3 linked regions of the Xenopus tropicalis genome follow. The protein of the gene in region 2 purifies or fractionates together with the protein of the main gene of each other region. This does not show direct contact. Links are inferred from orthologs where the notes say so. Each region holds a gene or a part of one and is shown on either strand. Other genes may lie near its edges. The genes, in order: dhx9, ewsr1 and ddx17.

What was found.
Region 1: the proteins of ewsr1 (region 2) and dhx9 purify together in Homo sapiens (affinity purification with mass spectrometry; 3 studies listed by BioGRID, with this or other methods). This does not show direct contact. The link is inferred for Xenopus tropicalis from reciprocal best matches to the Homo sapiens genes EWSR1 and DHX9.
Region 3: the proteins of ewsr1 (region 2) and ddx17 purify together in Homo sapiens (affinity purification with mass spectrometry; 3 studies listed by BioGRID, with this or other methods). This does not show direct contact. The link is inferred for Xenopus tropicalis from reciprocal best matches to the Homo sapiens genes EWSR1 and DDX17.

Annotation. Positions count from the first base shown.
Region 1 is NC_030680.2:100,157,617-100,161,270, reverse strand, and holds part of dhx9 (ATP-dependent RNA helicase A), read left to right. Parts: intron 1-291; coding exon 292-338; intron 339-418; coding exon 419-555; intron 556-778; coding exon 779-868; intron 869-951; coding exon 952-1,113; intron 1,114-1,207; coding exon 1,208-1,282; intron 1,283-1,473; coding exon 1,474-1,665; intron 1,666-1,756; coding exon 1,757-1,898; intron 1,899-1,977; coding exon 1,978-2,060; intron 2,061-3,654. UniProt on the Homo sapiens protein: Multifunctional ATP-dependent nucleic acid helicase that unwinds DNA and RNA in a 3' to 5' direction and that plays important roles in many processes, such as DNA replication, transcriptional activation, post-transcriptional RNA regulation, mRNA translation and RNA-mediated gene silencing.
Region 2 is NC_030677.2:144,953,061-144,956,714, reverse strand, and holds part of ewsr1 (RNA-binding protein EWS), read left to right. Parts: intron 1-1,469; coding exon 1,470-1,506; intron 1,507-2,204; coding exon 2,205-2,256; intron 2,257-2,388; coding exon 2,389-2,515; intron 2,516-3,654. UniProt on the Homo sapiens protein: Binds to ssRNA containing the consensus sequence 5'-AGGUAA-3'. Might normally function as a transcriptional repressor. EWS-fusion-proteins (EFPS) may play a role in the tumorigenic process.
Region 3 is NC_030680.2:120,521,935-120,525,807, forward strand, and holds the end of ddx17 (probable ATP-dependent RNA helicase DDX17), read left to right. Parts: intron 1-1,280; coding exon 1,281-1,514; intron 1,515-2,417; coding exon 2,418-2,833; 3' UTR 2,834-3,241; downstream 3,242-3,873. UniProt on the Homo sapiens protein: As an RNA helicase, unwinds RNA and alters RNA structures through ATP binding and hydrolysis.

The sequences.
Region 1 (3,654 bases), on a different chromosome or scaffold from region 2:
TGGCATCAGCCTGTCATTGTGTACATGAACATTTTCTGCAAAAATCAGCTCCCATTTGCACAGTGACAGGCTGATGCTATTCATATCACTAGCCACACAGTGGAAATAGTGTATTGGCATTTTCTTTGCCAGCAAGAAACAGCATTGTGTGCCAGAGATGGAATATATGATGTTTTAGGCTGGAACTCTTCTTTATCTGTGCTTTTTCGGTGACTCCCTAACAAGGTGAATAAATGTGTTACGTTTAGGTCTGTACATGCTTTCCTAACACTCTAATAAATGTTTTGGCAGGAGCTTTATTGCAGAAATGACCCTGTATGTTAAGCAGCTTGGAAGAAGTAAGTTCCCCAACTAAATATGCCATATGTATAGAAGGCATCTACCTTTGTACTCTCTAAACCTTTTGTTTAATATTCAGGAATCACGGCAAGAGAACATGGATCTAATAAGAAATTGGCGGCACAATCTTGTGCCCTTTCAATTGTCCGTCAGCTGTATCATCTAAGTGTAATTGAACCATACTCAGGACTGACAAAGAAAAAGGAAGGGGAGGCTGTAAGTTCCTTGTAGATAACCATCTGCATTGTAAATATTGTTTTTTGTTATCTTTGGATTATAATTGTCTCAAATGCAAAGTTTGTGGGTAATCTTAATTGTGATTCATATAATTAACTTAATTTCATTAGGAATACCCCAAAAACATTCTGAAACAAACAGATGCTGCTGCTTCTAAAAATGCTGTTATTACTAAGATGATACTAATGTTTCTGTCTGGCAGGTGGAACCTTATCAAGTGAACTTAAATCCTGATGTGGTGAAACAGCTGCAGAGTACTATTCAGGAGCTAGGAATTGAGTTACCATATCCAGTAAGTGTTTTGTAGTGTGCGTTTTTTTTCCCCTTTCCCTTTTTTGCTTGTTTTAATATAATTGCTGTGTTTTTCCATAATAGCCCCAGGATCCTAGCCAACCTGTGTCCCTTAATTTGGGAAAACTGGTACACTTTGAGCCTTCACAGAAGCAGAGTCACTCTGGTGTGGTGCCATGGTCTCCCCCACAGGAAAACTGGAACCCATGGACAAGCAGCAACATTGATGAAGGACCTCTGGCATTTGTAAGTTTTGTAGTTTCAGAAAAATAAAATGGTTGAATTTGCCTTCTTTTGGGTTAAATTTTTAAAGTTACATTGGCATCTACTTTCTTTAAAGGCTCCCCAGGAGCAGATCAGTGCAGAATTAAAGAATGAACACATGTATCACATGCAAGATCCTAACATGAAACAGGTTGGTTGATTCAGTTTCTAGACTATGCAAAAGTTTTTATAATTGTGGCTTTTGCTAAGCCTAGCACCACTATTTTTTCTGAATGTTTACAGTGCTCAAGACTGAACTGTAAAAACATTTGTAATCTATAATGTATTCAATGGTGTTTTAATATGTATTCTTTCAGTGAGTTCTTGCCTTTCACTTTTTAGGTCTTGATTGATCGAGAGTCTCTTCCTGTTAAGAAATTTGAGGAGGAAATAATGCATGCTGTGCATAACAGCCCTGTTGTAATCATCCGTGGAGCAACAGGCTGTGGTAAAACTACACAGGTCCCACAATACATTCTGGATGAATGTATTCGCAATGATCGTGCAGCGCAGTGTAATATTGTGGTTACACAGGTATAGTTCTGGAAATCAATTCTATGTTACTTAAACATAAAATAACATAAATGATGCAGTGGGTAGTGAGGTCTTTTTTCCTTTTCTATAGCCTAGAAGGATCAGTGCAGTATCTGTTGCAGAACGTGTTGCTTTTGAAAGAGGGGAAGAGATTGGAAAAAGCTGTGGCTACAGTGTGCGTTTTGAATCTGTTCTTCCCCGTCCGCATGCCAGTATGCTTTTCTGCACTGTGGGTACGTATTGCTTAATAATGATGGTTTTCCTTGTACAGTTAATTTATTTTTCTCTTGACAATATTATTAATATTTTCAGGAGTCCTTTTGAGGAAACTGGAGGCTGGGATAAGAGGAATTAGCCATGTGATTGTGGATGAAATTCATGAGCGTGACATTAATGTAAGTTACTCATTAAAAATAATTGAAAGGTTGCTTGGCTATGTTGATCTAACTATAACATTTTAGTTAAAGACTAAATTTTCCCCTTCCCACTTAGGACCCTCAGGCTGAGTAGCCATCTCATGCCTATGTTAATTATTTATCTCTACCACTGTTCAACAATATCCTAAGAAATATTAGTATAGTGTATTAGAAAAAAAAATATCCAAGAAATATGCTACTTTGTTTGCTGCAGGTTTTTTAAGAAATGTTCTGTCTACATTTATTGTAAAAGATTTTCAGTTTTAAGGCCAGCTGTCCCTTTAATATCTATTGGCAGAAGTTAACTCTTATAGTAGAGTATTTATAGAGGCCTTACTCCGTACTGATGCTACTGCATAAGGAATATAGTGTAAAGAATTCACATCAATATTTATATACTTTTGTATATGTTTTATTACTACAAGTCTAAAGGACATGTGAACCCCAAAAATAATTTTTTGCCTAATAAGAGAAAACATAATTCTAAGAAACTTTCCAATATCAATTAATTAAAAAATATTAGTGCTTTAAAAGTTATTTGTAAATATAATTGCTATAGAAAGCAGCATTTGCTGAACTCCTGGTTGTTACTTTTGAAACATTATTACAAGTGCCAGGCTCCTCCAGCAAGGCAGGTCTGTAAAATCTGCTTGCGTTTGTTACATTGTTTCAGTCGCCAGAGCACCCAAGGCACAGAATGGAATTAATAGCAGTTATGTTTCCCCTGACACTTTAGTAACAGTTATCTATACAAATAACTAAAAAAAAAACCATTACAGATATGTAATAAATATATATTGCAAAGTTGCTTAGAATTAAGTTTTCTTTTATTAGGCAATTTTTTTTTTTTCGGGTTGACAAGTCCTTAAAGCTTTATGTTACATTAAACCTTCCCCAAAAGCACCTTTATAAAAAAAAAACTGATTATTTGGCTGTCAGGTTAATGGCACACTGTGCACTTTCTCTGCCCGTGACGCAAACACTGATGCTGCCCCACCCCACCTCTGCGCAGCAACAGGCATGGTTTCACCTTGTATCATTACTTTTAGCGCAGTCTATGTCTAGCATGGATAGACTTTTTTTAATGTACACCTCAAGCATTTGAAATGGTACTTGAATTACTTGGTCACAGATAGACAAAACATGGTATTAGCCTGCAAAAAACTAAAAACCTGCTGTGAACTTCACAATAAAGGTGTTTACAGGCTAATATAGCTTTATGTCAAAAGTTCTTTATCTTTTTTTTTTTTTTAGATCAGCTCCAATGATAGGTAGATTTGTTGCAGGGTATCTAGTTGTTATGCACCCATCCCAGTGGTTCTAGTCACTTACCTTCTGGTGGTCTACTTTGCCATAAAATGCGCTTGCCTGGGATATTAGGGAGGGAGCACAATCTCTTTTGGCTACATTCAGCTGAATGCATGTGTGGTAGAGTAAAATCAAAATGTATAAGTTAACCTTTACTATGCATGCACACATGCCTGGTATCAGAGAAGGAATTGCAAGGAAGGCAGCCATGGCAGTGACAATGGGAAGGTAGCAAGATTGCAGCTCCCTGACACCTGTATTGCTA
Region 2 (3,654 bases):
TCTCCCCGTGTACCAGAGCCCTGAATGTGCACTGATCCATATAACAAAGGGGGTTATGTAATAAAAGGCACTAAGTTTACCCAGGAGCAGTAACCAATAGCAACCAATCAGCAGGTAGAATTTACTGGTTGCTTGTTTGAAAACACATCTTATTGGTTGCTATAGGTTACTGCTACTGGACAAACTTAGGGGCTGATTTACTTACCCACGAACGGGTCGAATGGAGTCCGATTGCGTTTTTTTCGTAATGATCGGTATTTTGCGATTTTTTCGTATGTTTTGCGATTTTTTTGGATTCTTTACGAATTTTTCGTTACCAATACGATTTTTGCGTAAAAACGCGAGTTTTCCTATCCATTATGAAAGTTGCGTAAAAAGTTCATCATTTTTCGTAGCGTTAAAACTTACGCGAAAAATGTGCAACTTTTCGCGTAAGTTTTAACGATACGAAAAATGATGAACTTTTTACGCAACTTTCGTAATGGATACGAAAAACTCGCGTTTTTACGCAAAAATCGTATTGGTAACGAAAAATTCGTACAGAATCCGAAAAAATCGCAAAACGTACGAAAAATTCGCAAAATGTTCATTTTCAAGTCGGAACTTTTCCAATTCGGGTCGGATTCGTGGGTTAGTAAATCAGCCCCTTAGTGTCTTTTATTACATATGGGGGAAAAAAATGTCGCCTGCATCTATTTACCTTCACATAATGTTTACTGGGGTAGTCCACCTTTAACCTTTAGTCTGTTAATAGCATGGTCTTTTTTTATTTATAGTTTTTGAATTGCTTTCCTCTTGACTCTTTCCAGCTTTCAAATGTACCGACTACAATAGTAAAAAAAAAAAAAAAAATTCAGCCTCTCATTCAAACCACTGCTAGGGTTGCTAGGGTAATTTGGGCCCTCATAACTAGGTAGATGTTGAAAATTTACACTGAAGAATGCTGAGCAAAAAGCTAAATTCAAAAAAATTACCACCAATAGCAAATTCTCAGAAAAGCATTCTCTACAAATTACATAATGTTAAAGGTGAACAACCCCTTAACCTGTGAACCACCAATATAACCGAAGTCTCTTTACATTTTTTTTTTTGTATGTTTTATATACCGTTAGCTTATGTATGCAGCACTGTACAGCAGAACAATAAATTAATAGAACGAGTCATTACAATAATAGATACAAACCACTACAAAGTACAGTTTCATTAAATATTACTCAGTGAAGAGTCCAAGAGAATGGATGTCCCTGCCCTGTAGAGCTTACAATCTAAGTGGGTGGGTAACTTGTAGACCCAAATAGAGGGATATAAAGTGCTGCAGGTTTTAAAGTGAGCGTTAAATATGCTTCACTAGAATGTTTTTACAGGGTTGTTAACCACAACATAACATAAATGCATTGTTATTGATTATTGGGAATGTATAAGGCTGTGTAAGTTGCTTTTTTAACTTAGCTTTATTTTTTCTGTTATAGATTACAGCACCTATAGCCAAACTGGAGCCCAACAAAGGTAATTTGGTTTAGCTATTTGTATATATTATGAACCATGCATTCAGAAGCATTTCTGTGCATTGTTGGCTGAAATCAGGTTGAACAAGGGGCCATTCTGCCACTTGCAACACTACTCTTTATACCACCAACAGTTTATGCTGAACATACTTTTTGTTTTTTTTGTCAAATCTATATTTATTTCATTAGCTAAACAGAGCAATTAAAGCTACTTCGTGGTTGGTCCTTGCAAGATACATCACCAGTATACAACCTCCTCCCTTCCCCCTTTGATGTGACAGTTTTGTTAGCAGAAGTCCAGTGTGTAAGGGGGATTATCTGAGATCTGGTAATCTAATTACCTTGCAAGGCCCAAACATGAAGTTGGCTTTCCTATCTAGCTCAAGAAATATCAAACTGTAGATTTACATTTTGTTATTCTGTGGGATGTTTAGAGTAATTTTAAAGACAGAAAAGAAACGGTTTACTTCTTCTTTGAAGTGCTATTGCAGTGAAATGTCAAAAATAGAATGTAACATGGTAGATCCTTTTCAGTTGATCTCACGTTATAAGGCATGCAATTTTCCTTTATACCAAAAACATGCGCTGGCACTGGTCACAAATGTTATGAGCTGTTAAGCCTAGGTAGGAATAGGAGTGTATTTGTACCTGGCTTGTATAACTTTATTCAGTGCGTTTTTTTTTTTTTTCTTAATGCAGTTACAGTGCATATACTGCACAACCAACTCAAGGCTACGCACAGACTGCACAGGTAATCATGTTATAAAGCATTTTAGTTCATTGTAAGAATGTGCTCTGAATGTACTTGATAAGCTCCATTGCCAACTTTAAAAGCTAATTTTTTTTGTTGAAAAAAAACAAACTTAACAATTCATTTTTGCAGGCAACTTATGGGCAGCAGAGTTATGGCACCTATGCACAGCCCACTGATGCCAGTTACACACAAGCACAGACAACAGCCAGCTATGGCCAGTCTGCCTATGCCACTTCTTATGGACAGCCACCAACAGGTACCGTTAAAGGGCTTGATGTAGCTCTTGCTGAAAATGTTTTATTGTTGAAAGTTGCCATGTTGTACAATCAGTTGATAAAAGCAGGGGCTGCAATTATTGGTGGTTAAATAAATAATTTTTTATTGCAGTGTTAAAGGAACAGTAACATCAAAAAATTACAGTGTTTTAAAGTAATTAAAATATAATGTGCTCTTACTCTGCAAAAAACTGGTGTTTTTGCTACAGAAAAGCTACTATATAAACTAGCTGCTGTGTAGCCATGGGGGCAGCCATTCAAGCTGGAGAAAAGGCACAGGTTACATTGCAGATAACAAATAAACTCTGTAGAATACAATGGCATTTTATCTGTTATCTGCTAAGTAACCTGTGCCTTTTCTCCTTTGAATGACTGCCCCATGGCTACACAGCAGCTTACTTATATAAACCTATAGTAGTCTTTCTGAGGCAAACACACCAGTTGTAGCAATGCAGGATAACAGTACATTATATTGTAATTACTTTTATACACTTTAATTGTTTGGTGTTAGTTCCTTTAAATGCTGCCTTCCTATGTAAGGAGGAGGGTTGGGTATGTAGGGTGTTACTGGTGTAGGGTCTGTTTTAGTCATGCACATCCACTATTTTAGGATCTGGCTGAACCCTGAATCCTTTGCGAAAGACTAGATCGAATACCAATCCAAATCCTATTTTGCATATGCAAATTAGCATAAGGGTTAAAGACAACCACGCAGGAAAAATTAACATTTACGTGTTTATGACAAAAAAAATCATGTGATTTTTAAGGATTCGGGCGAATCCTGCTGAAAAAGACCTAACCCTGGAATCAATGCATCCCTAATCTGTTTTTAAATGATGCTTAGGATAAGGCTCCGCAAAGTGGATTGTCAGCCTGCGTATAAGCGCAAGATGCCAATCCGCCCGTACGCATGAGAAACCTGAATGTGTCTGCACCCGGAAGCATTGCAGGCGCACGTAGCATATATCTGCCAACTAACGCAAGTCTTGGAGTTTACTGGTGAATTCAGTGCTTCTGGGTGCTGGCACAATTAGAAGATTTTTCAAGCATTTGGGCATGTTGTCAGCCTGCCTCATAGGCCCTTGTCCTTACCCATCCAGATCTACAATCAAAATGATAG
Region 3 (3,873 bases), on a different chromosome or scaffold from region 2:
GGCAACTGTTGGGAAGTCTTTTGGCTGTCAAAGCAGAAGAATAGCCCTTCTGCCCTTCTTCAGACCTTTTGTGGCTACTTCCTAAACTGTTTAGTTCCTCCTTTCTCCCTGCCTGCACATGCAGGATGTGGCAGTGTGCGTGACTTCCCATTCTGTCATGGAGAACATAAGAAAGTGAGCGCCCTAGAAACCTGTCATTTCCTTTTAACACACTAAACTAATGGACAGAGCAAAAATTTAATTTGTTCATCCTATTGGTTTCAAAGTTATTCTTCCCTCCTAAATAGTGGAACTTTGTTCTCCCATTTTTTCCTTTTTTTAAATTAATATTATGCTGTAAATTAGCCAAACCTGCAGTTCTTGTGAGTGACCTTTCTGTAATAAGAAACAGACATTTATCCAAACTTCCCTTTTGGTAAAATCTGATAATTAGCAGCTTTGTCCACATCCACCTTTCAAAGATTTTAATAACTTTATTGATGGCAGATGGTGAGTGTTGGAGGATGGGGTCTCTCTTCGCCCATTGACAGGTTCACAAACTTGGACTTGGGAGAAGGGCTCCCCCACAGAAGTATCTCGCTCAACCAGTGCACCTGTTGGGACCTCTTGCTGCGCCTGGACCGTTGATGCATGCTCCCTGCTCCAGTGGCCCCTTATCCAAGGATGAAGGGCGGCGACACCGCCATGAGCCAAAAAGACGGGATTGGCGACTGCTGTTTCCCTACCTCACTGAGGGAGTGTGCATCGGTCCGGACACCAGCTCTTCTGAGGAAGAATCCCACTAAGTTTAATTTAAATTATTTATGGTTTTTAGTGCTTTAATGGTTTTCTCTTTTAGCTTTAGGATTTTAACTGGTTCAGTGTCAGTCATCTCATATCTGATGTGTTCAGTTTGGGCATTATATTAGTTACAGTTTATGGAATAGCTCTCTGAACTATATTGTCAGTGAATTTATCTTCAATGTTTTCTAACATAATTGTGACTGGTAAATAGTATTATGCATCTTTGCATATGAAGCCCTAATCCATCTGAAATGGTCAATATTCTGATTTCTAATTTAAGACTTCAGATAAGAACCAAGATAAAGGCAGCTTTAGCTTTTGGAACAGAAATTACAGGGAATCACAGTTTGCCTAGACACTCTAAGCTTTAGTCACTGAAGTGTAGTAGAAATCAGAAATAGTTTGAGGCAAGATTTTTCTACATTTACTAACTTTAATCTTTGTCACTCTTCTGGCGTGTGTATTTCCTACACGTCAATTTCCCACTCAATTTTTAGATGTGGAGGATATCAAGTTCGTCATTAATTATGACTACCCAAACAGCTCTGAAGACTACGTACATCGCATTGGCCGTACTGCCCGTAGTACTAACAAAGGCACAGCTTACACCTTCTTCACACCTGGTAACCTCAAACAAGCCAGAGAACTGGTAAAAGTTCTAGAAGAAGCAAATCAAACAATCAACCCTAAACTAATGCAGCTGGTGGACCATGGCCGTGGCGGTGGTGGAGGTAGGTCATTGCCCTGAGGTTTGTGTACAGTATATAACTAAATGTGATGGTTGGATTTGAAGTTGTCTTTAAGTAACAAGTGTTAAAAATCTTAACTACTTATTAATTTAAATGTACTCTTCCACCCTGAGTAGCAGAGTGTAAGGGAGGGGTGGCTGGTATAAAGAGCAGTATACAGCTTTCACCTCTGCCTTAGGACAAACGCAGCTCACAATTAAAATCTTAAATTATATTTAGATAACAAGTGTGTGCTGGGACATGCATAAAGCAATATATCAATACAAAGGAGACTACCCAACAATTCTGGGCATGTGTGGCCTGCTTAAAGCAGTTTGGCCTATTTCAACTTTACTGACTGACCATCTAGATGTGTATGTCAGTTGAGGGATGAGCTTTTGACAATCCTGTGATCCTGATGGATGGCAGATGAAATCTGTCCTGAAGATTTAGAGCTAAGCTACACAGGAGATGTAGAATGGTGGCAGGTTGGCTGATTACATCCTTGCATAGGTCAAAATATAATGGGACTGATAACAAAATCTGATGTGTAATGTATATGGCAGATTTGTCATCCGGCAGGGCACTCCACTGCAAGTTGTGTCCGACAAGGTAAAATCTGATAGTGTCTAAAAGACTTTGTTGGTTTTCTTCGTCAATGTAGATGCGTTAACAAAACGCACCATCTTACTTCTGATTTGACTTACATTACAGCAGGAGGGATCAGATTGTGTAGCATCCCACTTTTGCTGATAAACAATGTTGGCAGGTGCATTGGAAGCTGAAGAAAGTTCTTAAACTATTCCTCTTTAGGTCTCTTCTTTCTGTAATGTGTAAACAAATGTATTTCTTTACTGTTTTCCTGTGTTTAAACCATATGTTAAAAACTGCTCTAAATCTCTCTAGGTGGCCGATCCAGATATCGCAGCATTCCCACAAATAACAATCCAAATATGATGTACCAGGAAGAGTGTAACAGAAGAATGCATGGTAAAGATGGAGGAAGACGTGATGGGAGGAACAATAACCGCGATGGTGCTATTTCTAACAATCCAACCGGGCGAGATCAGAACCGGCCAAATTACAGCTACGGTGGCCAGGTTTCCAATTTCCAACCCAACCAATACAGCTACGGACAGGGTGGCTTCACAGGAGTAGCTAACAATTATGGCACAGCAGCATATGCCCAGGCACCGCAGCCACTGATGTCACAGCAGTTTGCCCCACCTAGCTCCTCTGGCCTATTGAACTATATGAACCAGGCAGCCAGTTATCAGTATCCCCCTCCTCCTCCACCACCACCTCCACCTACACGTAAATGAGTTCTTCAGCCTTTTTATCTTTTAGCCTGTGTTACCAGTTGATGTAATACACAATTTCCCTCAGTAAGCTTTATGTTTTGTTGCATTTTGTTTTTCCTTTATCTTGATCACAGCAATGTTTGGGAATTAGACTTTTCCAATCTTTGAAGCTGTTCTTTAAAGTTAGTGTTCAGGATTCTATGTGCTTTGTTCTGGCAGTAGCCTTAAGATGACTTGATGTATTTGCAGGGCTTTTCGGTTTTTTTTTTTTGTTTTTTTTTACCTGTTTTGTTTTTTTTTTTTTTTTTTGCCAGAAAGTTTTGAAAGCTACTGTGGCTGCTTTTTTCCTTTTTTTTATTACTCCTGAGTTATTCCAGGTAGGTAAAATTCCAGACTGTCAAGCATCATTCCTCCCTTATTTCCCTGTCACCAAGACTTTTTTCTCTGTATTTATAATTCCCTTGATTGGTGTATAATCCTCCTTTCTTCTGGGGGTGGGGGACATCTACAGTGTTATGCCTCTCCTAAATACATTGACCCTCCCACTATATAGACACTATTTTGGCATTTTTGTTGCCATGTGTGACAAAGACAAAGGTAGGTTCTTTTAACAAGCATTAATAAGTTCACATTAGTTAGATTTATTTTTCATGGCAGGTTGTCTGTACCTCTCATCTCACTGTTATTTCAGCTTCTGTGTTTTGTGTTATAGTTGCATTTCTCTCAGGTGTAATTTTGTTTTTCAGTTACAGATAATGCCCCATACCTTTAAATAATGTTACCATTCTAGTTTGCTGGAGTGGTTATTACATTTTTAAAATTCATTTCTCTAAATTGTCATGAGAACCATCTGACACCATTTTGTAGATAATAAATTTTTTTTTAAAAAAAAAGTCACCATGTGTACCATTGTTTTATTAGAGTGGTGCTTTTATTGATCTCGCTGTAATATTTAAAGCATAACATTCAAATGTTCTGGCTATCTGTCAACTCTATTCTCACCAGTGTCCATTTCTGAAAGTGTCACGGATGGAAAGACTGAAGCAGCCAAACTGTCTTGG